Kluyveromyces lactis: one gene and its partners. The protein of the gene in region 6 interacts with the protein of the main gene of each other region in a pairwise test. Links are inferred from orthologs where the notes say so. Each region holds a gene or a part of one and is shown on either strand. Other genes may lie near its edges.

Evidence for each region.
Region 1: the proteins of UTP22 (region 6) and HCA4 interact in binary tests that used the Saccharomyces cerevisiae proteins (3 or more experiments, as listed by UniProt). The link is inferred for Kluyveromyces lactis from reciprocal best matches to the Saccharomyces cerevisiae genes UTP22 and HCA4.
Region 2: the proteins of UTP22 (region 6) and RRP36 interact in binary tests that used the Saccharomyces cerevisiae proteins (3 or more experiments, as listed by UniProt). The link is inferred for Kluyveromyces lactis from reciprocal best matches to the Saccharomyces cerevisiae genes UTP22 and RRP36.
Region 3: the proteins of UTP22 (region 6) and CKA1 interact in binary tests that used the Saccharomyces cerevisiae proteins (3 or more experiments, as listed by UniProt). The link is inferred for Kluyveromyces lactis from reciprocal best matches to the Saccharomyces cerevisiae genes UTP22 and CKA1.
Region 4: the proteins of UTP22 (region 6) and MPP10 interact in binary tests that used the Saccharomyces cerevisiae proteins (3 or more experiments, as listed by UniProt). The link is inferred for Kluyveromyces lactis from reciprocal best matches to the Saccharomyces cerevisiae genes UTP22 and MPP10.
Region 5: the proteins of UTP22 (region 6) and ROK1 interact in binary tests that used the Saccharomyces cerevisiae proteins (3 or more experiments, as listed by UniProt). The link is inferred for Kluyveromyces lactis from reciprocal best matches to the Saccharomyces cerevisiae genes UTP22 and ROK1.
Region 7: the proteins of UTP22 (region 6) and UTP5 interact in binary tests that used the Saccharomyces cerevisiae proteins (3 or more experiments, as listed by UniProt). The link is inferred for Kluyveromyces lactis from reciprocal best matches to the Saccharomyces cerevisiae genes UTP22 and UTP5.

Annotation. Positions count from the first base shown.
Region 1 is NC_006040.1:801,296-805,415, reverse strand, and holds HCA4 (RNA-dependent ATPase HCA4), read left to right. Parts: upstream 1-1,320; coding exon 1,321-3,633; downstream 3,634-4,120. Other genes in the region: PML1 (Pml1p), read right to left, coding at 341-994; CTK2 (Ctk2p), read left to right, coding at 4,107-4,120. UniProt on the Saccharomyces cerevisiae protein: ATP-dependent RNA helicase required for ribosome biogenesis. Involved in the release of U14 snoRNA in pre-ribosomal complexes. Required for pre-rRNA cleavage at site A2.
Region 2 is NC_006039.1:595,764-598,527, forward strand, and holds RRP36 (rRNA-processing protein RRP36), read left to right. Parts: upstream 1-1,265; coding exon 1,266-2,264; downstream 2,265-2,764. Other genes in the region: MRPL44 (mitochondrial 54S ribosomal protein mL53), read left to right, coding at 489-546, 679-917; KLLA0_C06864g (rhodanese-like domain-containing protein), read right to left, coding at 2,649-2,764.
Region 3 is NC_006041.1:381,486-384,495, forward strand, and holds CKA1 (casein kinase 2 catalytic subunit CKA1), read left to right. Parts: upstream 1-1,388; coding exon 1,389-2,510; downstream 2,511-3,010. Other genes in the region: CAP2 (F-actin-capping protein subunit beta), read left to right, coding at 130-969.
Region 4 is NC_006040.1:821,799-825,462, reverse strand, and holds MPP10 (rRNA-processing protein MPP10), read left to right. Parts: upstream 1-1,337; coding exon 1,338-3,164; downstream 3,165-3,664. Other genes in the region: AVT1 (Avt1p), read left to right, coding at 1-945; NOC3 (Noc3p), read right to left, coding at 3,264-3,664. UniProt on the Saccharomyces cerevisiae protein: Involved in nucleolar processing of pre-18S ribosomal RNA. Required for the early cleavages at sites A0, A1 and A2 during 18S ribosomal pre-RNA processing.
Region 5 is NC_006039.1:1,528,741-1,532,180, forward strand, and holds ROK1 (RNA-dependent ATPase ROK1), read left to right. Parts: upstream 1-1,200; coding exon 1,201-2,940; downstream 2,941-3,440. Other genes in the region: MRPL15 (mitochondrial 54S ribosomal protein mL57), read right to left, coding at 1-555; ATP20 (F1F0 ATP synthase subunit g), read right to left, coding at 3,238-3,440. UniProt on the Saccharomyces cerevisiae protein: ATP-dependent RNA helicase involved in 40S ribosomal subunit biogenesis. Required for the processing and cleavage of 35S pre-rRNA at sites A0, A1, and A2, leading to mature 18S rRNA.
Region 6 is NC_006040.1:1,246,570-1,250,790, forward strand, and holds the start of UTP22 (rRNA-processing protein UTP22), read left to right. Parts: upstream 1-1,421; coding exon 1,422-4,221. Other genes in the region: KLLA0_D14762g (uncharacterized protein), read right to left, coding at 176-580. UniProt on the Saccharomyces cerevisiae protein: Involved in nucleolar processing of pre-18S ribosomal RNA and ribosome assembly.
Region 7 is NC_006039.1:579,001-582,744, forward strand, and holds UTP5 (Utp5p), read left to right. Parts: upstream 1-1,348; coding exon 1,349-3,244; downstream 3,245-3,744. Other genes in the region: negative cofactor 2 transcription regulator complex subunit NCB2, read right to left, coding at 1-217. UniProt on the Saccharomyces cerevisiae protein: Involved in nucleolar processing of pre-18S ribosomal RNA. Required for optimal pre-ribosomal RNA transcription by RNA polymerase I together with a subset of U3 proteins required for transcription (t-UTPs).

The DNA of each region.
Region 1 (4,120 bases), about 450 kb from region 6:
GTATTGTCTTGCGCATGTCATTTCTATATTTGACAAGCTCTGATGCTGACCCGTATGTCTGGAACAACACAACTGCGGAAAGTTCCATTGACTTGTACGCAACGAGAAGAATAAAGCAGCAAAAAAAAAAAAAAGAAAAAGTTCTTGTTTAACATATTTAAAACGAGTCCAACTACCTCTTCCATTCTCTAGCATACATCGATATTGATTTATCTTTTTCTCACATAGTTTTGTAATGTATAGAAATTACATTTCCGATTTTATAAAATACAAATAATATAAGGTTTCAAGAAATCGATTCTCAAGAAGGACTTGTACATGAAAAATACAAAAGAATAGATCATACGGCTAGGAAAATGAGCTCATAATCTGAATCATTTGGATCTTCAGATACGTGTATAATATCAGAGCTCTTTAACTCGATATACCGGGCGCTAGGAACGGCTGAATCATTCAAACACGTACCGTTGGAAGAATCAAGATCAATCAAGTATGGAATTAAAGATTCACCGACTTGTCGGAATTGTACGGCACAATGTTCTTTCGAACAGCTTTCCTCTTGGATTGGGATATCAGCAAGAATAATTTCCTCTCCATCAGATTCGAAGCGTCGTAGACTCTGACCTAATCCTCTACCGATAATATAGCAACTTTTATCATGCAACTTAGTTTTACTTACTTCACCCTTGACGCCCTTCCTATACACAACAAGCTCATAACGAATTTGATCCCACTTAGGTACTTTTAGCTTTTTATAGAAATCGTGGGGTGATATCGCATCTTTGGGCTCTACATGCTTAAGTTGTATGCCTTTTTTCTGGTGGCTTTCCAGTTCCAATAATCCTGATGGCTCAAATATAGGCAAGATTACTTTTTTTTGGGCACCTTCATAGCGGCTTCTTTTCGTTTCGTGATCGTATCGATATCTGCTACCTTCACGTTTGATGCTCATTCTTTTGGCGCCGTTGCTTCCATAGATGACGGTATATTCCATATATCTTACATATTTATTCCATATATTGTGCAATTCACAATATAAGGTTCATCTGTCATTTCATCGCTTTTCATGTTGTAGGAAAAAAGAAATAGAAAAGAAAATTTTTGGTAAATAGAAGAGCTCATCTCATCTCATCTCATCTAGATAGAGGTTCGAACCTCAACCTCAAGGAAAAGTAGTTTACTTTGTCTTTGAGCGGTATCATTAATCGACCTATAGAGAAGTTGATTAAAGTAGCAAACTGGTGCATTTAATCATTTAACTAAACGTTTAATCAACTGTGCCAATATAACTTATAATTGGTTTGCAAAGAGCATTTAAAGATGGCCAAGAAACAAAAGCATAATACCCAGCAGCGTAAGCTGATTCGTGAAAGAGACAGCCAGAAGATCAAAGATCTTGAAACTAAGGTTGAAGAATATAACCCGAAAATTGCTAAGGCTAATTTGTTTCAAGATTTACCCATTAGTGAACAAACTCTAAAAGGGTTGAAAGAAGCAGCATTTATCAAATTAACCGAGATTCAGCGCGAGTCCATACCTCTCTCCTTGAAAGGCCACGATGTATTAGGCGCTGCCAAGACAGGTTCTGGTAAGACTCTAGCATTTTTGATCCCTGTTATCGAAAAGTTATACAGAGAGAAGTGGACAGACATGGATGGGCTAGGTGCATTGATCATCTCCCCAACAAGAGAATTGGCCATGCAAATATATGAAGTGTTAAGTAAAATTGGTAAGCACACTACCTTCTCCGCCGGTTTGGTTATTGGTGGTAAAGATGTTACTTTTGAGAAAGAGAGAATTTCGAGAATTAACATTCTAATAGGAACACCAGGCAGAATCTTACAGCATATGGATCAAGCCGTTGGATTCAATACTTCAAATTTACAGTTGTTAGTACTCGATGAAGCCGACAGATGTCTAGATATGGGTTTCAAGAGAACCCTTGATGCCATTATTAATAATTTGCCTGCTTCAAGACAAACACTTTTGTTTTCAGCTACTCAATCACAAAGTTTGGATGACTTGGCTAGATTATCTTTGACAGATTACAAACAGGTAGGAACGATGGAAGTTTTAAATGCTAATAGTTCATCTGCGACTCCAGAATCTTTACAGCAGTCATATATCGAAGTGCCACTACCTGACAAACTTGACATTCTGTTCAGTTTCATAAAATCGCATTTAAAGTCTAAGTTAATTGTGTTTCTATCAAGCTCTAAACAGGTGCATTTTGTTTATGAAACTTTCAGGAAATTACAACCTGGTATATCTTTGATGCACTTGCATGGTAGACAAAAGCAAACGGCGAGAACTGAGACGCTGGATAAGTTCAGCAGAGCGCAACATGTCTGTCTATTCTCAACTGATGTGGTTGCTAGAGGTATTGATTTCCCATCTGTTGATTGGGTGATCCAGGTTGATTGTCCTGAGGATGTCGATACATATATCCACAGAGTTGGAAGAGCAGCCAGATTCGGTAAAGAAGGTAAGTCACTCATTATGTTAACACCAGAGGAAGAGGAGGGATTCTTGAAAAGATTAAAAACTAAAAACATTGAGCCCAGTAGACTAAATATCAAACAATCAAAAAAGAAATCTATCAAACCTCAGTTACAATCACTCCTTTTCAAAGATCCCGAATTGAAATATCTAGGCCAAAAGGCTTTCATTTCTTATGTTAGATCGATATACATTCAAAAAGACAAAGAAGTCTTCCATTTCGACAAAATACCATTGGAACAATTTGCTAACTCTTTAGGTTTACCAGGTGCTCCAAAGATCAAGATGAGGGGAATGAAATCGATAGAGAAGGCAAAGGAGTTGAAAAATACATCAAGACAGCTCCTAACCCTAGCAAAGGCAAATGATGAAGGTGATGTGATTAAAGAAAACAAACCTGAAGTGAGGACCAGATATGACAAGATGTTCGAACGGAAAAACCAAACTGTGCTAAGTGAGCACTATCTGAATGTCACCAAAGCACAAGCTCATGATGATGAGGATGAAGATTTCATCATGGTTAAACGTCAAGACCATGAGTTGAATGAAGCTGAATTACCTGAACTTCTTGTTCCAACATCTAAGAGAGCCCAAAAGAAAGCATTATCAAGGAAGGCAACATTAGCATCTAATGGTAACCCAACCAAAGTCAAATTTGACGATGATGGTAAAGCTCATCCTGTTTACGAATTAGAAGATGAACAAGATTTCCGTCAAAATGGTAACTCAGAGAAGCAAAAAGAAGAGTTCTTGTCTAAGGAGGCAGAGCTTATGGCAAAGGTTGATGTAGAAGATAAACAGGTTGCAAAAGAGAAAAGGCAAGAAAAGAAACGTAAGAGACTAGAAGCAATGAGAAAAGAAATGGAAGCTGATATGGAGGATAGTGATTATGAGGATGAACCAGTAGCATACCTTGGAACTGGGAACCTAAGTGACGATATGCAATCTGGAGCTGACACTGAAGACGATTCTCAAGATGAAAGGCAACCAAGAAAAAAGAGCAAATATGCTGATTCCAGTGAAGATGAGGAAGAGGAAGAAAGAACTACTGAACGTGATAGAATTATCGAAGTGGAAGAGCCACAGACTCTTGAAGATTTGGAATCTCTAACAGCAAATTTGATTGGATCTTAGATTCATCAACTGCTTGACTTATTTAATCATGTATAAAAATAGACGATAACCTTGCATTCCAATAATAGGATAACATCTCCCTTTTAGGATTACGACAATACACTTGAATAATTTATTGCCTCATCAAAGTAGCTCTGGCATTTACCGACTTGCTTCGTGATTCAAAGCATTTCACCCACAGACCTTCCAAAGATCAAAACGTTTAAAATGACATGTTACTTGAAGGGAAATTTCATTCAAAAAGTTTTGTTTTAAACCTGTTCTGCGAATGAAAAATTAAAATGAAATAAGAATAGCTTTTGTATGTGTAGTATTATAGAAAGAAGCAAAAGTTGTCGTTTCTAAACGATAAGAGTTCTATTCTATCCAAAGTTGGTGTCAAATATAAGAAAACCCCAATATACCTGTATTAGATAGGCTGTGATTAGTGAGGGTAGAATTTCGTGGGTTTTAGTTCCAATTACTACTCTGCAATGTCGAATCAAAG
Region 2 (2,764 bases), on a different chromosome or scaffold from region 6:
TATAGTTACAATCAAACTGAAAGTCCAATTCGAATATGAATAGTTCCTTTTTAAAAAGCTTGCCAATAGATTCACCGTATCAACGGCTGTTACAATTGAATAAACGAATGAAAAACAACCCGCACTTAGTTCAACCTGCAAACAATTAAAGGCGAGTACCTTATATCGACCTTAAATAACAATCCAAGGATCCTAAAAACCGATTGTGCTAAAAGCAGTCTTGCTTCATTTGCAAATATTGAAGTTGTTCATTTTGCAATTGGATGTTTCTTTCAATATTTTTCATTTCGTCAAACATCGCCCAAAAACATTCAAAAACTATCCGGGTAATAGTATAGCCTCTGATGAGATCGCTATTACCATTTAAACAGTTTTAGGCAAAAAGCTAGAGATGAATACAGCTGTGAAGTATGTTTTTGGATGAGGACGTCTCATCAGAGTAATACTTGGGAGTTTGTCAGCTGTTGTCAAGAGAACTATAGAGCAACATGATCACGAAATATTTTACTAAGGCAGTTGTGAAATTCAATCCATTAGGAAAGGAAGGTATGTCTTCAAAGAAAGAGAAATCATTAGTTGGACATCATTTAAAACTACCGAACACCATTACTAACATAATATGATTTACGGTTGTTTTACTATTAAAACATCAATCGTCTCATTTATCTTCATCTACAGCCAAGACAGCTAGGTTGTTCTTAAGTGCTATTCCTCCTTCACAAAGAACAAGTGGATTACAATTGCAAAACGAAGTTTTGGTTTCTGGCTCTAATAAGAAACCTACAGTGAAAGTTACTTTCAAAGATAAAACTGAATTGGAAGCTGATCCAAGCAGTATGAACTTCATGGAACTAGGGAACTACTTTGATCGTCATTCAAGAAAATTGGCCCTAAAGGAAAGTATTGAATCTCAATGATTTCTTGTGACGAGATACCCATCACAAAATTCATGTATATATAACAATAAGTAAAAGAAATTTAATGTAGTATAAGATATAAAACACTACAATGCTTCAGTGGATTAAATTGAGTCAACGCTGTTGGTATGATCACAGACCTTATTATTTGAAGCTCCCTTCCTGTCCATTATTCATTTACATCGCCTGAATAGGAATTTCAAGTTTCTTCCAGATATTGAAAATTTTATACGGTGCCAATGCAGAAGCGATGAGCTAAACTTAAAATCAAGAAGAACTTCTATGTAGAAGCGACTGATAACTAACCTGTAAGCAGCCACGGCCACAAAAACTACCAGTAATATACAAATGTCATTTTACTTCAAGAATATCAAGCCAGATCTTCATTCAGGAAACGAAGATGAGGAAGATGACATAGCATCAATCATAAGAATAAACGATACAAGTGATGCAGAAGGTTCACAAAGCGAAGATGAGCTAAAGACACTCTCATTTGGATCTTTGAAGAAAGCTGATGAAATGATGGACAATGAGGAACAAACCAGCAGAAAAAGCAAAAGCAAAGCGAATGGTGAGAAGAAACATTTGAATAAGCCAAAATCAAGAGAGTTGACTGAGAAACAAAGGAAACTTGATGATGGACAGAGACGTCAGAGCGGATTACAGGAAGAAGAAGCACAACAAAAGTCACAGTCTATCAAAATGTTTGCAGAAGAATCTTTCGGAGAAGAAAGTGATTCTGATAGTGATGGCGGCTTTTTCGATGAAGAATCAAACGATGAGGCTAATCAGAATGGTAAAAAGAAGAAAGGTAAAAGAAAGCACGCACCAACCGAATCATCGTCAAAGAAGAAAGTGCGCTCCATGAGAAAGATTCCTGGGTTAGAAGATAATAAGAGTAAATCCATCTATCAAGATGTCAGGTTTGATAAAGCCATGGGAAAGTCAGAAGACTTGGCAAAAATCCGTCAACGATACAAGTTCTTGGATGAGTACAGAGAAAAAGAGATCAACGAATTGGATAGCATGCTCCATGATAGAAAATTCCTAAGTAAAATCAGCGACAGAGAGAAGAGTGAAATGGAGCAGCAGGTGAGAAGGATGAAATCAAGATTAGAAACGGTGCAAGTCATGGAAATGGAACAAAAGATTGTAAAGGATTATGAAGCAGAAATCAACAAGAATAACAAGAATAAATACCATTTGAAGGATTCAGAGAAGCGGAAGGTAATACAAAAGTGGAAGTTCGAGCACATGAAGGGTAAACAAAGAGAAAAGGTAATGGATAGAAAGAGAAAGAAGAGATTAGGTAAAGAATTTAAGCAATTCGAATTTCATAAGAGGTAAAGTATGCGATCGGATCAATTGCATTCTACTCATTAATTTCAAAGAGATATTGCCTTTATTGAAACGGATGTTTCATTATGTGTACATAAAGTATAGATGTCAGGTTTTCAAATTTAGGCCACTCTATATAGTTGATTTAACGGGAATAATTTAGATAGAACCCAAATCTAGGACCATAGATTTGACAATCGAGTCTGAAAGGGACAGAACAGTCGTGATTTCAAATAAATTTATACCACATCAGCTAAGTAAAGTAACTGGATCACTCGGGAAAATGAAAGCCTACTCTTTATCCAGTTATTTTTTGGAAGAAGATGCAAACAAATCATATCACTCTCATTATGGATACAACAAAAAAAAATAAAATGAACAAGACATTACAAATCATTTCTTTGGTTGGGTCCTCTGCAGCCATTCATTGATCGAACCAGGCCATACTCCAGTCTTCTCATAACCATAAGATCTAGCTAGTTCTTCAGCTGCTTGAGCTCTAATCCCGG
Region 3 (3,010 bases), on a different chromosome or scaffold from region 6:
TTGAAAGGAAAACTACGAAAGAAATCATTAAAGGAGTAGAAAGGGTAAATGTAAATACATCAAGCAAACTGAAGAAAACTCATTGAGCGTGGTAACTAGTTGTAAATATACTGAAGATACGGAACTAGAATGTCTGTGGACGAGAAATATGATGCTGCTTGCGAGCTTTTATACAGATTGGATCCAACAAAGGTGAAAACCCATTTACAGAACCTTATTGCGTTGGAGCCTGAAATCGCAGAAGGATTACTTTCCTCAATTGATATCCCATTGACCATTAAGAAGGATACCGATGCTAACAACAAAGAATTCTTATGTTGCGACTACAACCGTGACATCGATTCTCATAGGTCACCGTGGTCTAACCAGTACTTCCCTGAATTGAGTGCCGAAGATTTGAAAGAAAGTCCTTTTCCCAGTGAGCCATTGAGAGAACTAGAAGTTGCATGCAACAATTCTTTCGAGTTGTATAGGGACCTATACTACGAGGGTGGTTACACTTCAACGTATCTCTGGGACGTTGATGAATCAACTGATTTCGCGGGAGTCATTCTTTTCAAGAAAGCTGAATCAGATGATTCTAAATGGGACAGTATCCACGTCATATCTGCCACCCACGATGAAGAGGGTATGGAAGTCACATATAATGTCACTACAACGGTGATCTTGCACTTGGAAAACCTATCAAAAGAACAACAACTATCATTGTCCGGTAATCTAACTAGAGAAAATTCCAAGACCGTAAAATTGCAAAACGTATCTACTGTTGAACAGCTAGTACCCGCTCACTCTTCCAGCTTGGGATCTATGATTGAAGATATTGAATCTAAGCTTAGATCAATGCTCGAAATCGTGTATTTCGAAAAGACGTTGGATATTTACAACGTGTTGAGAGAACGTAACGATGATTCTACCAAATTGCAAAAGGAGCAACACTCCGAATTAATTGAAAACTTCCAGAAATTATAATCAATTGAATAAATAAAGTAAGAAATTATACACACATACACTACGTATAAATGCTAAATGAACACCATTATATTTTGCCGGTTCGTCAGTCAACACAATTATTGGCTAGAATTGTTCTATACATAAAACCGTTACCCTAACTCCTCATACTGTAGTTTCGAAATGTCAATTTTTGCAAGAGAGACATGAACTGAAAAGAAATCAGATAACCCAGAAATGAAAATTCCAGTTTGAGTATAGGCATTACAAAAGCTTCAAACGTACTGGATTATATACGGTGAGTGGTTTGGATTTCTCGGACTCATTATTACCACTGTTTATAGAAATAGAAAAGGTCAACAAAAAACTGGCTGGCAATCGTTCTCGTTGTTAATTTCGTGGTAGTTTTAGAGACTTTCCAGTACATTATTAAAAGGAAGATGAAATCGAAAGTGTGGAGTGAGGCAAGAGTCTATAGTGATGCCAACGAGATTCGTGGTCAAAGATACTGGGACTATGAAAATACATCAATAGAATGGAAGGCTAATAACTCACAGTACGAAGTTGAATGCAAAGTTGGCCGTGGTAAATATAGTGAAGTTTTCCAAGGCGTACAGTTATCCACGAGAAATAAGATTGTCATTAAGATGCTAAAACCTGTGAAGAAGAAGAAGATTAAGAGAGAAATTACCATACTTGCAAACCTCTCGAATGAGAAGAATCCGCCAACTGCGCAACCTTACGATGAGGCAAAATATTACACAAACAGAAGAGAAGAAGTACTGAAATATGCGAGAGATAAAGTATATGACTTACCTCATAACGGGCATGAGAATATTATAACATTGTTAGATGTGGTCAGAGATCCCATATCCAAGACACCTGCATTGATTTTTGAACATATCGACAATACGGAATTCCGTAGGTTGTATGCTTCATTTTCGGATCTTGATATTCGTTATTATATGTTCGAGCTTTTGAAAGCTTTGGACTACTGCCATTCGATGGGTATTATGCATAGAGACGTCAAACCACACAATGTAATGATTGACCATAAGCAACACAAATTGAGACTAATCGATTGGGGTTTGGCTGAATTTTATCATCCATCGATGGAATACAATGTCCGCGTTGCGTCAAGATTTTTCAAGGGCCCAGAACTTCTAGTTGATTATAGAATGTACGATTACTCGCTAGACTTATGGTCATTTGGAGCAATGTTAGCATCAATGGTTTTTCTGAAAGAGCCTTTCTTCTATGGGTCGAGTAATACTGACCAGCTAGTCAAGATTGTACGCGTCTTGGGTAGTGATGATTTCGAAAGATATTTACAGAAATATCAGATAACACTCCCAGATGAGTTTATTGATATGGATCAATACATCAGAAGACCATGGCAGAAATTCGTCAATGATTCCAACAAGCACCTATGTGGAAACGATGATATCATTGATTTAATCGATAATCTTCTTCGTTACGACCATCAAGAAAGATTTTCTTGTAAAGAAGCTATGGCTCATCCATGGTTTGCTCCAATTAGAAACAACGAATACACATTATAACCGTTCCATAGATCAATATTTTTATGAAGTTAATAATAATAATAATACTAATAACAACTGTGTGAGCTTTCCTATAATAAGTGTTGGAGGATATATTTTGATCGGGTGCTTCTAAATCTACGAATTTATTATTGACATTCATTGAGAAAGTTTTCAGATGTTGTGGAACTGTTTTGATCCTGAAGCTGAGCCCAGTCAAGCATTTGAAATTCTGCAATGAACGTTTTGTCTTTCAACATCAATAACTCACTCTGAACATACCTCTTGCTTTGAAGGATATTACATCCGTCACAATGAACTTCTCTGCAGTGTTCCAAAATCGATGACAAAATCTGTAGACAGAATCTGAATGCTAGTCCGAAATAGGGAACAATAGGAATTGTTAATCTTTTTCCGAACTTCATAAGATATTCCCACCTTTTCTGGAAAATAACGTGAAAGGCAGAATCCGTTCCTGCCTTTAAATCACTCCAAAATGTTTGTGAATCCAGTAATTTCTC
Region 4 (3,664 bases), about 420 kb from region 6:
TCGTTCCTATTTGCTATGGATTTATTAGCATGTGGTGTAGCCTTGATCATTTTGTTCGGTGATTCATTGAACGCGTTGTTCCCAGAATATTCGGTCAACTTCTTCAAATTCGTCGCTTTTTTTGCAGTTACTCCTCCAATATTTTTGCCATTAAGTGTTTTATCAAATATCTCTTTGTTGGGTATTATCTCGACTATTGGAACTGCATTGTTAGTAGTTTTCTGTGGGTTGCTAAAACAATATTCACCAGGGTCATTATTGCAACCAGAAGCCACATCGATGTGGCCCAATTCATTCAAGGAGTTTTGTCTTTCCTTAGGGTTATTGAGTGCATGCTGGGGAGGTCACGCAGTCTTTCCCAACTTAAAGAGTGATATGAGGCATCCGGAGAAGTTTACTCGTTGTTTGAAGACCACTTATAGCATCACCATTGTTACTGATATCGGAATTGCTGTCGTTGGATTTTTAATGTTCGGTAATCTTGTTATGAATGAAGTGACAAGAAGTGTGTTATTGACTCCAGGATACCCGCCTTTTGTTTATGGCCTAATTTCAACTCTTCTTTCACTGATTCCACTTGCCAAAACACCACTTAATGCAAGACCGATTGTCTCCATCTTTGATTCAATGTTTAACGTAGTGCACATCGATGAAACTAAACCAGCATCGAAGGTTTTTTTCGCAAAGGCAACCAGAATATTTAACAGAATCATGGTGAATGTTATGTTCGTGATTATTGCTATTTTATTCCCTGAATTTGACAAAATAATTGCATTCTTGGGTGCTGCACTTTGTTTCATGATTTGTTTCATTCTGCCATGTTTGTTCTACAAAAGAATTTGCTACAAAACCATTAAATCTTGGGAATTGATAGCGTGTAATATTACGATATTAATTAGTGCAGTATTATCCACTCTTGGAGTATACGCCTCCTTCACCTCATGAATTACCTACAAATGCTGTTGAATTTGCCAGCACCTCATTCTTGTATATGCATCTACGTGTCTTTATGCAAAATTTTAGCACCCAAACTAAGGGAATCACACTTCATATAATGACTTTTCACCCATATGTACTTCTGTCTAGTATTCATCACCCAACCAATGCCTCACAACTGTGTCTATTATCTCTCTTCTTACCCGCATTGGCGACAGTTCCCATCATTTTTTTCTTTTTCAAATTTTTGGATACCTGAAAAATTGATGAAAACTCATCTCATCGCATCACTCAGCATGTACGAAATATGCGTCTATAGTAGCAGCTTGATCGTATCGATACATCCACTACAGCTACACCAGTAAATAGGTAACGTTTCACTGACCCACACATAACACAACATGAGTCAGTTTTTGGAAATTTTGAAAACTAATCCTGTTGGACTTCTTTCCCAGGATGCTCTGGAGTCCAAGGAACCACTATCGGCAGTGAAGACTTACTTTGACGAAGTCATCAATCTGAATAAAAACAATGGAAATTCAAAGACAACATTAGATGAGATAGTGGTTGATGGGCTAGATGCTAACCAGGTATGGTGGCAGTCAAAAATCATTTTAGATAATGTTCAAGGTGATATCATGGAAAAAATCGCCGAACTGAAGGTTGATAATGAGAATGATATGAGCGAGGAAAGCAGCGGAGACGAAGATGATGCCTCTAATGTTGAAAATTCCAATGAAATGTCTGCAGACGAAGCTCCAGTTTCTGAAGAGTCTGCTATTGAAGAGGAGGAGGAAGAAGCAGAAAATGAAGAGCTCGTTTTAGATGAAGAACAACAGTTCTCAGAACCAGAACCTTTAGAATTACATGAGAAGGAAGAAGATAAATTGGAAAACGAAAGTGATTCGGAACCTGATGATCAATTTGTAGAAGCACAAGAAAGTCCACAAGCGATCGAAGACAAGTTTGGTGTAAACGATCAATTTTTCAATCTAGATGAATTCAATAGACAAACACTTGAGGCTGAGAATAGAAGCCAAGATGCAGATGAAGAAGATGAGGATGACGAAGAAGTTGATTATTTCGCAGATGTTCCATCGGAGGAAGATGAAGAAGCTCTATATTACGACGATTTCTTTGATAAGCCATCTAATAAAAAATCTTCCCAGGACAGGCGGCCAGGACCTTCAAAGAAAGCAGAGGCCGAAGAGGATGAATCCTTTGACGAAAGCGAGTATGATGATGCAATGGAGGAAGCTAAGTTAGATCTTTTTGCTGACGAAGACGATGATTTTCAGGGATCAGATGAAGAAACTGCTGAACAACCATTATCTACCTTTGAACGTCAACAACTTGAGCTAAAAAGACAAATAGAATCCCTCGAAAAGGAAGCTGTTGCTGAGAAGAAATGGGCGTTAAAAGGTGAAGTAAAAGCTCGCGATAGGCCAGAAGATGCCTTGTTAACGGAAGATCTTGAGTTCGAAAGAACTGCCAAACCTGTGCCAGTTATAACAGCTGAGGTAACAGAAACTCTCGAGAATATGATCCGTAGAAGGATCAAGGAAGAAGATTTTAACGATCTACAGAGGAGGGTTATCAGCGATATTTCAGGCTACAATAATAAACCAAGATTCGAACTAAGTGATGTAAAGTCATCAAAATCACTAGCTGAAATTTATGAAGATGATTTCAAAGGTGTTACCGAGGATACTGAAATATCAGAAGAATTACAGAAAAGTCACGATGAAATTTCAGAGCTATATAAAGATTTGGTTTACAAACTAGATGCATTATCGTCAGCCCACTTCATACCTAAGCCGATAAAGAAAGATCTTGAAGTAAGAGTGCAAACCGCCGCTATTTCTATGGAAGATGCACAACCACTAACAATGTCAAGTGGTTCCACATTAGCTCCTCAGGAAATCTACAAAGTTGGTAAATCAGAGAACTCTAATGAAATAACTTTGAAGAATGGTGTGGTGATGTCCAGAGATGAACTGTCCAGAGAGGATAAAAACAGACTCCGTAGAGCTGCTAAGAGAAAGAGATCGAAGCTATCTGCGAAAAGAGCCGAACAACCTAGAAAGAAGAGTAAGACGGATGATGTTCTTAATACCTTGACTAAATCCAAGAACATAACCGTTATCGATAAAAAGGGTGCCAAAACTGATGTTAAGGGTAATATAAAGAAGGATAATGCATCTGGTAACATCAATTTCAAGTTATAGACACTGTTACAGTAAGTATATATTACTATAATTAATGCAATTGCATTGAAATGAAGGTGGTAAATAAGAGAATTCTTAATTATCTTTTTATCCCCCAAACTATTTATGTTCTTGAGATTTATGGAATAATGATCTTACACCTTTTACAACAGAAGGACTGTAATGCTTGACAAGAAGGCTATTTTCCCATATAGTTGCTGCTTCTGCATTACTTCTACTTGGTAAGTCTGTGTCGATGCGGAACTCCCCATTTCCAATTCTATCGTCTGTAGAGTATAAACCCAGTACTTCTGGATATTTGGTAGTTAGTTTATCCAAAAACTTCAGCAGTGCAATTGATGTTTTTTCTGGAGTGTGCAGCAAAGCCATGTAAATTCTCTTTGTGAACGCAGCAGCTCTTTGTTTAGTGCCAGATTTTGATCTGAAAAAGACATGATCAAGGGCTTTCAACAATAACTCTGCTTTTGTTGATACGTTAACTGATGGTTTGACGAGTTCAT
Region 5 (3,440 bases), on a different chromosome or scaffold from region 6:
ATACTCACCGTTATATTTGTGACTTTTTTGAGTGTCTCGTTTGTTCCAAAACACTAATTTATCTAGGTTTCTCCTTTGCAAAAATTCAGCCGTACTCTGTTTGGATATTAACATTTTAGAACTTCCCTTCCCAAGCATACCGAAATTTAGTCCGTTAATAACAGGTTCAGACTGTACGCTTTGTGATAGTTGCCTTTCAGAAACAGGTAGACCCAAGGAATGAAGACAAGCTTGATATTTCACAAAATGACCACCGATAATAGACAATTTCTGATTGTATGGTTTAATACCTTGGGCAAACGACTTGTGAGTCAAACATTGTGTAATGATGTCGTCTGGCAAGTCAATACCATATTTTTCCAAATTCAAACCTTGCTTAACAGTAGATACATGGCCATCCTTGACAAGAGAATCATAGTGCAAACCGTGTGGATTCTTCAAAGACTCAACTGGGTCTCTTTTCAAACCACGTACCCTAGTCCCAACGTGTAGATAAGAACCATTACGCACGCCGAATTTTGTGCTTAAGTTAAGACCAATTTTGGTTAAGGACATTATTCCAGAAGTAAAAAAATACTGTCTGAATGGTTTCTGTCTGGTATTTTCACAATTCAATCTTCCTCGACCGAATATCAACAGATTGTAATTACACAGGACACAAATATTAGAATTATTGAATCTTAATTCTAACAGTTTAGTCCTTTTAACTACGATTCAAACTGTTTCTTTGTAGTTTTTCGACTCGAGGCAGCGATCCAAATTTTGAAATTTTTCAAAATTTTTCAGATCACTCCAAACGAGGTCATCGCTGTGTCTAAGTGCTATCTTGTATGATGGGAATACATGCAATATCAAGGCATTAGGTACTGTTATCAAGGGAATATGGTCATTATGGGCTGGTATTATGAGGGCTTAATACCAGCTGTATCTTAAAGTAAGCTTTGCTGCATCTTTATGCCTTGAGAAGTACTTTTATATCGATTTTTACACTTATTGTACCCTAAGTTTTGTGAAAAGAAACGCTTCAGTAAGATCAATTTTAATTGAAAAAACTGCAATTAGATGTAGGCGATGAGATGAGATGAGATGAGATGAGAGAGTAGTAAGAGATTGATTATATCACTCACAGTGGTTTACTATCGAATTTATTCTCATTACTAAGTAACTTCTCACAGGCCAATACTAGCACCGCTAATTAACATGGATATCTTTAGAGTCTTGACTCGTGGAGCTAGCATAAGGAAGAATGGTGATTCTAATAGAACACAGTCTGCAGACTTTAGCATGGCTAATGAAAAGAAGAGTAAGACAGCTGGCAGCTCAAGTACACCAGCTAGAGATGAACAACAATTGACTAAGGAGTTGGATTTTTTCCGTAATAAGAAAATCATGAATAAGGTAAAGTCTGAGTCAACCAAAGGTGAAGGTGAAGACGAAGTACAAGAAGATAATCAAGAAGAAGACGAAGATCATGCTGATGACGAGACTGAGTTATCCGGGAAAATTATCACGAAACAAGATGCGTTAAAGTTACGTAAATCTTATCAAGGGAATGTTTCAGGGAATAGTGTTCCTTTGCCCATCGGTTCTTTTGAAGACTTGATCACAAGGTTCCAATTCGATAAGAGATTGTTAAACAACCTCATAGAAAATAACTTCACTGAACCAACTCCGATTCAAAGTGAATCTATACCGATTTTGTTGCATGAACGTGACATGATCGCTTGTGCTCCCACAGGTTCTGGTAAAACGTTGGCATTTTTGATCCCACTACTGCAACAGATAATCAACGATAAAACCACAGTTGGTCTTAAAGGTTTAATTATATCCCCAACAAAAGAACTTGCGAACCAGATCTTCATCGAATGTTCCAAATTAGCGAACAAGATATACTTGGACAAGAAAAGACCTCTGCAAGTTGCCCTACTTTCAAAATCATTAAGCTCAAAATTAAAGAATAAAGTTATCAGTGAGGACAAGTACGATATTATCATTTCTACTCCCTTGAGATTGATTACTGTGGTTCAGGAAGAAGCCTTGAATTTGGGTAAAGTGAAACATTTAATATTTGATGAAGCGGATAAATTATTCGACAAGACATTTGTGGAACAAACTGATGATATCTTGAGTTCATGTACTGATCCACATCTCCGTAAAACAATGTTCTCTGCCACTATACCATCCAACGTGGAGGAAATCGCCCAAACCATCATGAACGATCCTATCAGAGTCATTATCGGTCACAAAGAAGCAGCAAATATCAACATTGATCAACAATTAGTATTCTGTGGTAACGAGGAAGGTAAACTTATAGCCATCAGGCAATTGGTTCTTGAAGGTGAATTCAAACCTCCAGTAATCATCTTTTTGGAATCTATTACAAGAGCCAAGGCATTGTTCCATGAATTGCTATATGACAAGTTGAATGTGGACGTGATCCATGCCGAAAGAACTCAAGTTCAAAGAGATAAAATTATCGAAAGATTCAAGTCTGGAGACCTTTGGTGTTTGATCTGTACCGATGTGTTGGCTCGTGGTGTCGACTTCAAAGGTGTGAATCTGGTCATCAATTATGATGTTCCTAGATCAGCTCAGGCGTATGTGCATAGAATCGGTAGAACAGGTAGAGGTGGTAGATCCGGTAAAGCCATTACTTTTTACACGAAACAAGATTCTTTGGCAATTAAACCAATAATAAACGTGATGAAGCAAAGTGGATGTGAAGTCTCAGAGTGGATGCAAAAGATTTCTTCCATGTCCAAAAGAGAGAAGGAATCATTGAAAAAGGGTAAGGGTCATGTGGAGAGGAAACAAATCAGTACTGTTCCTAAGGTTGTAAAACAAAAAAAGAGACAAAGAAGAGAAATGATCGAAGCTTCAAAGAAACGGAAACTCTCTGTATCGGATGCCGAGGAAGAAGCTGGCAACGATTCGACCTAACCTCAGGATAACCCCTGTTGCTTATTTCCAATATCAAATGTTCGAATTAAGTCATGATGATATACATATAATTAAAGCGTCGCAGAATCCGTATGTATATTACATATAGACGATACATATATATAGTCTTTTAACACTTCATCTGGGAAACCAGAGTAAAAGTCGCTTTATTTTTAGGTTGTTTTTTTCTTGGCTGGAAATGAATATAGTGTTGTTTGTAGTTGTTAAAATTTCGTTCGTATGTTACTGAATATGCTTTTAAAATTGATACGGTCGGCCTCTCAATCAATTCCATTTTTAGTGGTGAGTAGAGTAGTTACGGTAACCAACAACCTTTCTTCTACCGATAATTTCACCCAATGAGTATAAACCTAACAATTGCACGCCGAAAGCACCGATCTTAACGGCTTGGTCCTTTTCAATGTTCTTCAACAAGTTAACAACTTGTTGAGGCTTATCAGCATAACCCAAAGCTTGTCTGTACAATCTGGTGTAGACCA
Region 6 (4,221 bases):
CATTCCTTCGGGACACATTCTTCCCAGAAGAAAACAATTGAATTTGATAATTCGTCGTTGTCAATTATATTTATGGACCAGTCATTGCTTTTGTTCGGGATAAAACTCTCTAGTCCCGCTAGTCTCAATTGTCCAATTAAACAGTAAACCCATCTGTTAAATTGGTCCTTTGACTTCACTTGTTGTAGATGAACAGACGTCTTGTCTTGGAACCTGGAAAAGTCATCAAAGCTTTATATTCGCTGTCACACGAGTTGTTATTCTTCTTGGAATAACTAAACAACAGACTGCTTCGATATCTGTATTCCCTATCAAACACTTCGTAAGTACTTCCTCCAAATATCTCTCTCTCGGGATCTAAGTCTGAGTATGGGTTAACATTTTTATCCTCTTTTAAACTCTGTTTAGGAGCACTACCATCACTAACGATATCGAGTCTTTGTATATCTTCACAGATACCTCTTGTCGGATCATTACTTCCTTGCGGAGACTCAGTGACGCTGCCATGTAGGTGATCCTGGTTGTCGCAGTCACAGTCACGTGTAATTAATTCAAAACCTTCGGTATCAGATGAATCCATAGTGTTTACTAGCTATATATAGCTAGTGTGTTGATGCACCTGGCGATCTGTCATGACTGTGTTGATGGTCTTTCCCCAGATCTATGGCCTCTTTATATAATAACTCAGATTGGTTAATGATGTTTCATGTTGATACTTGACCGTCTATTGTTTCTAATCCGTCTCAACAGATAACCCGCCGAATGATCTAAAAAATCTGTAAAATTTGTAATAGATTTCGTGCCTCCTTAGCTTAGTGGTAGAGCGTTGCACTTGTAATGCAAAGGTCGCTAGTTCAATTCTGGCAGGTGGCATTCATCTTTTTCAATATCCAATCTGACCTTCCTCGAATCTATTTTTTTTTTCTTAAAGTAACATTGTGCACTAAAACTAGCAATACGGTACGTCTAAAACCATGTATTCCCTATATTACTACATATCGGGATAGTACCAGTTCCAGCACTTGAGTTGGACTTGGCTTTAGTCCAGTATGACTCTATGTATCTGACTATCTAACTGATTATTCAGAGAGACTGAGATTGGACACGTCGTATAAAGTGACAGACGCATCAAAATCCTTCACATCGAATTTTGGAAAAATTTGCCAGGCGATGAGCTTTAAAGGTTTAAAGAATTCGCATTTACATAGAATGAACGTACCCATAGGCAGGTTTATCACAGTGATTTTGTTTGGATTTCCCTCGTATTAGTTTGCTAGATATTAAAAGGGTAATTCTCTTCTGTTTTGGCTAGGGGAAATTGAAACCCTAGGACTCGGGCACTGGCTATCATTCTGTATTATAATCAATCCAGAGGCGCAAACGGTCAGGAACTAGTGAATTAAGTGGATATTTAGTGAACTATGGCCTCTGTGAAACGTGTAGCACCAGATGGTGAGAAGTCCAGGAATGGTAGTTTCACCAAGAAGGCGCTTGTAAAAGCTATTACTGGCTCACAGGCTGAAAATGACAGTGACAAGACTGGTTCTTCTTCTTCTGGAGAAGAAGAAGAAGAAAGAGAGGAAGAGGCTACTGCCTCTTCCAGCGGGGAAGAAGACGAGGAAGAGGAAAACACACATGACCATAAGGCTAAGAAGCCAAAGTTGAGCTCCCAGGATATACAAATAGCGAGAGAAACGGCTGAACTCTTCAAATCGAACATTTTCAAATTACAAATCGATGAGTTATTGGAACAAGTGAAGTTGAAGGACTCACACATCGTAAGGGTGGAGAAGTTTTTGCATAAACTATATGATATGATACAGGAAGTACCGGAATGGACTCCGCAAAGCTTAGAAGATGTAGAGAAATATTTCCATGGGAAAGTGGTATCAGTTCCGTTTGTGGATCCAAAACCACAAGCGAAGAACACACAGTACAAATTCAATTATTTAAAGCCGGACGTGAGTTTAATTGGATCATTCGGGTTGAAGACTGCCATCTACCAACCTCAGGGCTCCGCAGTAGACGTTTTGTTGACTATGCCTGAGCAGTTGTTCGAAAAGAAAGATTTCTTGAATTTTAGATGTTTCCACAAGCGTTCAGTATACCTCGCGTATTTGACTCATCATATCTCACTCGTCCTGAAAAGAAGCCAGCTGGATTTCTTACACTTGGAATATTCATACTTTAACAACGATCCTTTACAAACGGTATTAAAGATAAGTTGTAAGGAGAAAACTTCATCGGACTATAATTTCTACAAGACTAAATTCAGCATAAACTTGATCGTGGGGTTCCCATACAATTTCTTCGAATCAAAGAAGTTGCTACCCAATAAGAACTGTATCAGAGTCGGTCAGGATAACGAAACTCCGACACCTTTCTACAATTTCTCGGTATTATCATCTTCTTGTCACGAACACTATTTGAAGTACTTACACAAATCAAAGAAACAAACAGAACAGTTTAAACAGGCTTGTATTTTGGGGAAGCTATGGTTATCTCAGAGAGGCTTCTCATCAAATATGTCTCATTCAGATGCGTTGGGTGGTTTTGGAAATTTCGAGTTTGCCACGTTGATGGCAGCCCTACTAAATGGTGGTGGGTTGAATGGTAACAGAATTTTATTGCATGGGTTCTCATCTTACCAATTATTCAAAGGTGTAATCAAATATTTGGCCACAATGGATCTTTGTACTGATGGGTACTTACAATTCTATTCCGACTATAGCACTACTGCAACTGTCACTTCCTCAAAATACGTTGAAGAAGGTTTCCAAACACCTACAATCTTTGATAAAACCACCAAAGTTAACATACTGAGTAAAATGTCTGTTAACAGCTATCAAATGCTAAAGATCTACGCGCAAGAAAGTTTATTGATGTTGAATGACGTCGTCAGAGATCAGTTCGAAAACATGTTCTTAACTAACTTAAACAAGATCAAGACAGTGAAATATGATGCTTACTATGATTTAGATATCCCATCCATCAATTTACTACTGTCCAAGTTCGGTCCCGTTGAAAAGATTAGCTTTATATCATTCGAAAATTTCATCTGCAATAAAGTATCGAACATCGTGAAGATTGCCCTTGAGGATAGAATCAAAGCTTTTGAAGTGGCTCTAGTTAACAATAGATCTACTTTCCCAGTAACAAAGAGAAAAGTTGCTGCTGTTCCAAATTTCACTTCAATCCAAATTAAACTGTTGATCAACCCTGCAGAATGTGAGAAGCTTGTGACTAAGGGCCCAGAGAACACAGAAGAATTAACTAATGAAGCTAATGAATTCAAGATTTTTTGGGGTAAAAAAGCATCTCTTCGTAGATTCAAGGACGGTTCCATTGCAAACTGCTGTGTCTGGTCAACTTCTGCTATTGAAAGTGTTGTTTCTTCGATTTTGTCCTATGTTCTAAGGCTACATTTGACTGAAGACTGCAAACTCATCAATAATTCCACTAGCCAATTCCAACAGTTGTTACCACTACCGAACCTACCTGCATCTTCAAAGACATCAGTTCTAAACCTATCAAGCTACTATAACTTGAAGAAGTCCTTTGACGATTTGTATAAAATCATGTTCGAGCTAAAACTCCCATTATCAATTAAATCTCTTTTACCTATTGGTTCTGCATTCAGGTACACATCATTATGTCAGCCTGTCCCATACGCATATTCTAATCCTGATTTCTTACAAGACGTTGTTATCGAATTCGAAACGTCTACAAAATGGCCTGACGAAATTACTTCGTTGGAAAAGGCTAAAGCTGCATTTTTATTGAAGATTCAAGAATCCATCACGCAGACTCATAGTGAGTACAAGTGCTACTTTACACGTGATGAATCGATTCCATACAACTTGGAAATAGTTACTCTAAACATTTTGACTCCAGAAGGATACGGTTTCAAGTTTAGAGTTCTAACTGAGAGAGACGAAGTTATGTATTTGAGAGCAATTAACAACGCAAGAAAAGAACTAAGACCAGAGCTGGAAAAGACATTCTTGAAATTTACTGCCAAGTACCAAGCTGCTATTAGACATACTAGAACTTTGGAAAACATTTCCCATAGTTACCCATTCTACTCTCCAGTGGTAAGACTATTTAAGAAATGGCTAGATTCTCATCTCTTATATGGCCATTTGTCAGAAGAATTGATTGAGCTTATTGCCATTAAGCCATTTGTAGAGCCACGTCCATTCACCATGCCAGGTTCCGTTG
Region 7 (3,744 bases), on a different chromosome or scaffold from region 6:
AGGATTTGATCACGTGATCAGGCGCTATCGTCTTTTTCAACTCTTTATCTGCGATCTCGCTAGCAGAACCCGCTAGCATCATGATGAACTCTACCCCACATTCGATGATTATTTCACGAGCCTCCTTACTGAATGTTAGATCGGAATCAAGTACTTCAGATATGATTTTTTGAACGGTAGCCTTCGGTAATGTAACGTCGTCAACCTCTCCAACCATGTTTTCAATTGCTTATGGTTGAAATTCTAACGGTCTTTATTTTCTAAGATAAAGCTTGTGATTATTATTTTTTGGTTTTGCAAGCTTCCCTGAAAAAACTATAATACTCTCGAACTTAATTCTGTGCTGCAAGTCAATATACCAAACAAGCACTTCACGTAGTAATCAATTAGATAATTGGATGAACTTGAGATGATAACAGATTGTAAACAAATTTAACAATGTCAACTTTTGTTTTTAAATGCCTGGTATTACACTTTTTTGTCCTCCTTGAACTCTAGATCTGAATTATGTATAATAATATATACTAAAAAAATACTCATCGCTATTTCATTCACTATGCAAAAAAATGATATGGCTCGCCAAATTGGCACATTTTTTGATGCTTTATATATAAAACTACGAATCAAACTAAGAAGAAAAGTTGAAAATAAAAAAAAAAAAATTAAAACAACAACACACATCGCACACATCGCATCACCTATGCAAACAAGGGACAATAAGGGAATTCTGATTGGAAAATATATATATATAGATGTATATTCAAATTAGCAACAGGACAGAGACATATAAGTGTTGACCTTGGTTGTTAGGCAGGAGCTCTTTCCTTACTTGACGTAAATTCTTTATGTTGTGTTAATCACCCAGCTTCCTCTCATCACAGTAGAAATGCTAACTAGTGTTTGTTAGGAGATATGAAGTGTATAACTTGAAAGCAGGAAGGCAATGTTTGGAGGTTGTAAAATAAGATTGCAAAAGCTGAGTTAACGAACTCAGCTCAGTGGATGTATCCTGAAGAAAAGCCTTAAATTGGGGACCACTGGCTATATGCTCCAAATCACGTGAACAATATATGCTAACTTCTTATTACCCGGCACTTGTTTTTTGTAAGTAAATCTCACTTTTCTTTCTCCTTTCCAAGCTAAAGCTTTTCATTTGAAACTTTTCATAGCTCATCTCATCGCATCTCATCTGAGCTCATCGCACAGTATTTACTTTTGTGTACTTACTTCTTTCCTAAAGTGTTTCGATAAAACGTCTTGGGATATTAATTGAACAATCACCGGCTTTCGTACTGTTTAAGCTAGAGGTCTACACTCTACCACACGAATAACAATAGCAAGCTTAACGATGGCAACAGCTTCGCCAGTCGTATTATCACAATATGATCCAACCGGACAATATTTTGCATACGTTTCCACCGCTTTGGATAAACAGCGGGTATCAGTGGAGCCAACAACTGCCTCCAAATCTGGTTTAGTGAACGATAATTTTCTCTATTTGGAGGGGAAAGACGTCTGCTGTACATGCATACAATGGATTACTTACAATGACACACCATTGGTAGTTCTGGGTCTAAACCTAGGGGAAATATGGCTATACTCTCCTTTATCGAATGAAATAGTGGCGAAACTGAACACAGGATCAAGCTTAGCAGTTTTAGATTTCCAACTCTTTTCAAGCAAGGACAAGGCCTGGTGTTTGACTGGTGATGATACTATTTTTTTATTCGACATGGTATCACAGAATGTATCAAAAAAATTCAAAATTGATGAATGTAAGGACTTAAAAAAGCTATGCATAGTTGATAGCAATCGTATTCTTGTCGCTTCTCATCAAATTTACTTAATCGATGTCATTTCAAAGAAATTGTTGTTACAATACCCTGGCCATATTTCACCTGTGTCTTTCCTTCAAGTGACCACAGATGGAACAGCATTTTTGAGTGCATCTCAGGACGATAGATTTTTGAATATTTATGATTTGGACACTACCAAGACTAAGTCCGTCCTAGTAGCGGACTCGAACGTTATATCAATTTCGATATCTGAGGATTGGTCTCACGTGTCGGCAACAACAGAAGATGGGGATATTGCTATCTTTGAAGAACCTTTGGTATCAATCAATTCAGGGAATAAGAGACGTTCTGGTAAGATATCCAAACAAAAAAACAAAACTATAACTTTATTAAGGTCTAATTCCGCAACCAGATTGCCTATTATCAAAAGTTTTATCAACAAAGATCTAATTAATTTTTCGTGGTTAGAAAATGCAACCACACCTTACTTTGATCAAGTTCAATTAGGTAACCTAACGGATTCAGTCACCACTTTATCCAAGCCATTGCCATCTGCTAAATCTACACAAACCAGGAACAACCAAAACAGTGATATTTCTTCGGCAAAGCTCTACAAAGAGGGTAATGCAACGGTAACATCTGGTGATAACTTTAAGCATGTGGAATCCATTGTCCAAAGTTTAGATGATATAGAAGGAGAAGGGATTTCAGAAACTTTACAGGATAGACTAAATATAATTTCACCACCATCGAGAAAACCAAAGGAAAGGAGAAGAGCCAACGCTGGTACTTCTTCTGTTGTATTAGCTCAAGCATTAAAATCAAATGATCATGCTCTATTGGAAACAGTCCTTAACACACGCGACGAAAAAGTCATTCAAGCAACCATAACCAGGTTATCCCCCCAACTTGCTACGATTCTCTTGGAAAGACTCGCTGAACGTATCGCCAGACAAACTCATAGACAAGGTGCTTTGAACGTGTGGGTGAAATGGTGCCTAATAATTCACGGGGGTTACTTAGTTACCATTCCAAATTTGATAAATTCATTGTCATCGCTACATGCTACTTTGAGGAAACGAGCAGATCTCTTACCAACACTCATGGCATTGGATACACGTATTACACGTTCATTAGATGAATTGAACAGTAAGAGAGCCGTACAATACGGCAAGGATCAACTTGATTCTGAACTTGTCGCTCCATATCAGGATGACGAGTCGAACCAAAATGAAGATGAAGAGGAAGAAGTGGAATATATAGAAGAGCTAGACGATGCTGGATTAATAGACGATGGTGAAGACAGTGCAGAGTACTCTGAAGATGATGACGAACACAGCGAGGCTGATAATCAGGAACTTACATACACTGAAGAAGGATTTGACGACGATGACGAAATGAGGGTCGACGTTGAAGAAGGATACTCTGACGAAGAAGTTCAGCATTAGCGTACATAAAAGAAAAAATATAAAACGCTAACGCATTGAAAAATGCAGCTGCTATGTATCGACTTAGACCTGACATTCTTCCTCCATGCAGCTTTAAGCTTGATTGATCATTATGGCCGGGTAATGGAAACATCGGAGTTTGACTCTGTCTGTAAATAATCTAATTAAAAAAAACAATTGTTTGCTAGTGATGCTCTCAGAATTCAATTTAATCCAGAACCAAACAAGTTAAAAATTTAAAGCGTGGAACATGGAAAATGTAGAAGCGTTTAATGAGGTGTTCTGTGTTGGTTTAGAACGTGCATTTTTGGTAGACGGTCTATCCGGCTCGGAAATCCCGTTCTCGTAAACAATTTTAGAATTTCTCTACTGGTTGCAAGCACGTAGGTTCGTCTCGCGGTACGGGAGTTGATCTTGTCCATGGGATCAGTATCTATCGTTTCGTTTTGTTTTTTTTTATATCTTTGACAGATAAAGTATAAATGTGTCGTGTATTCTTT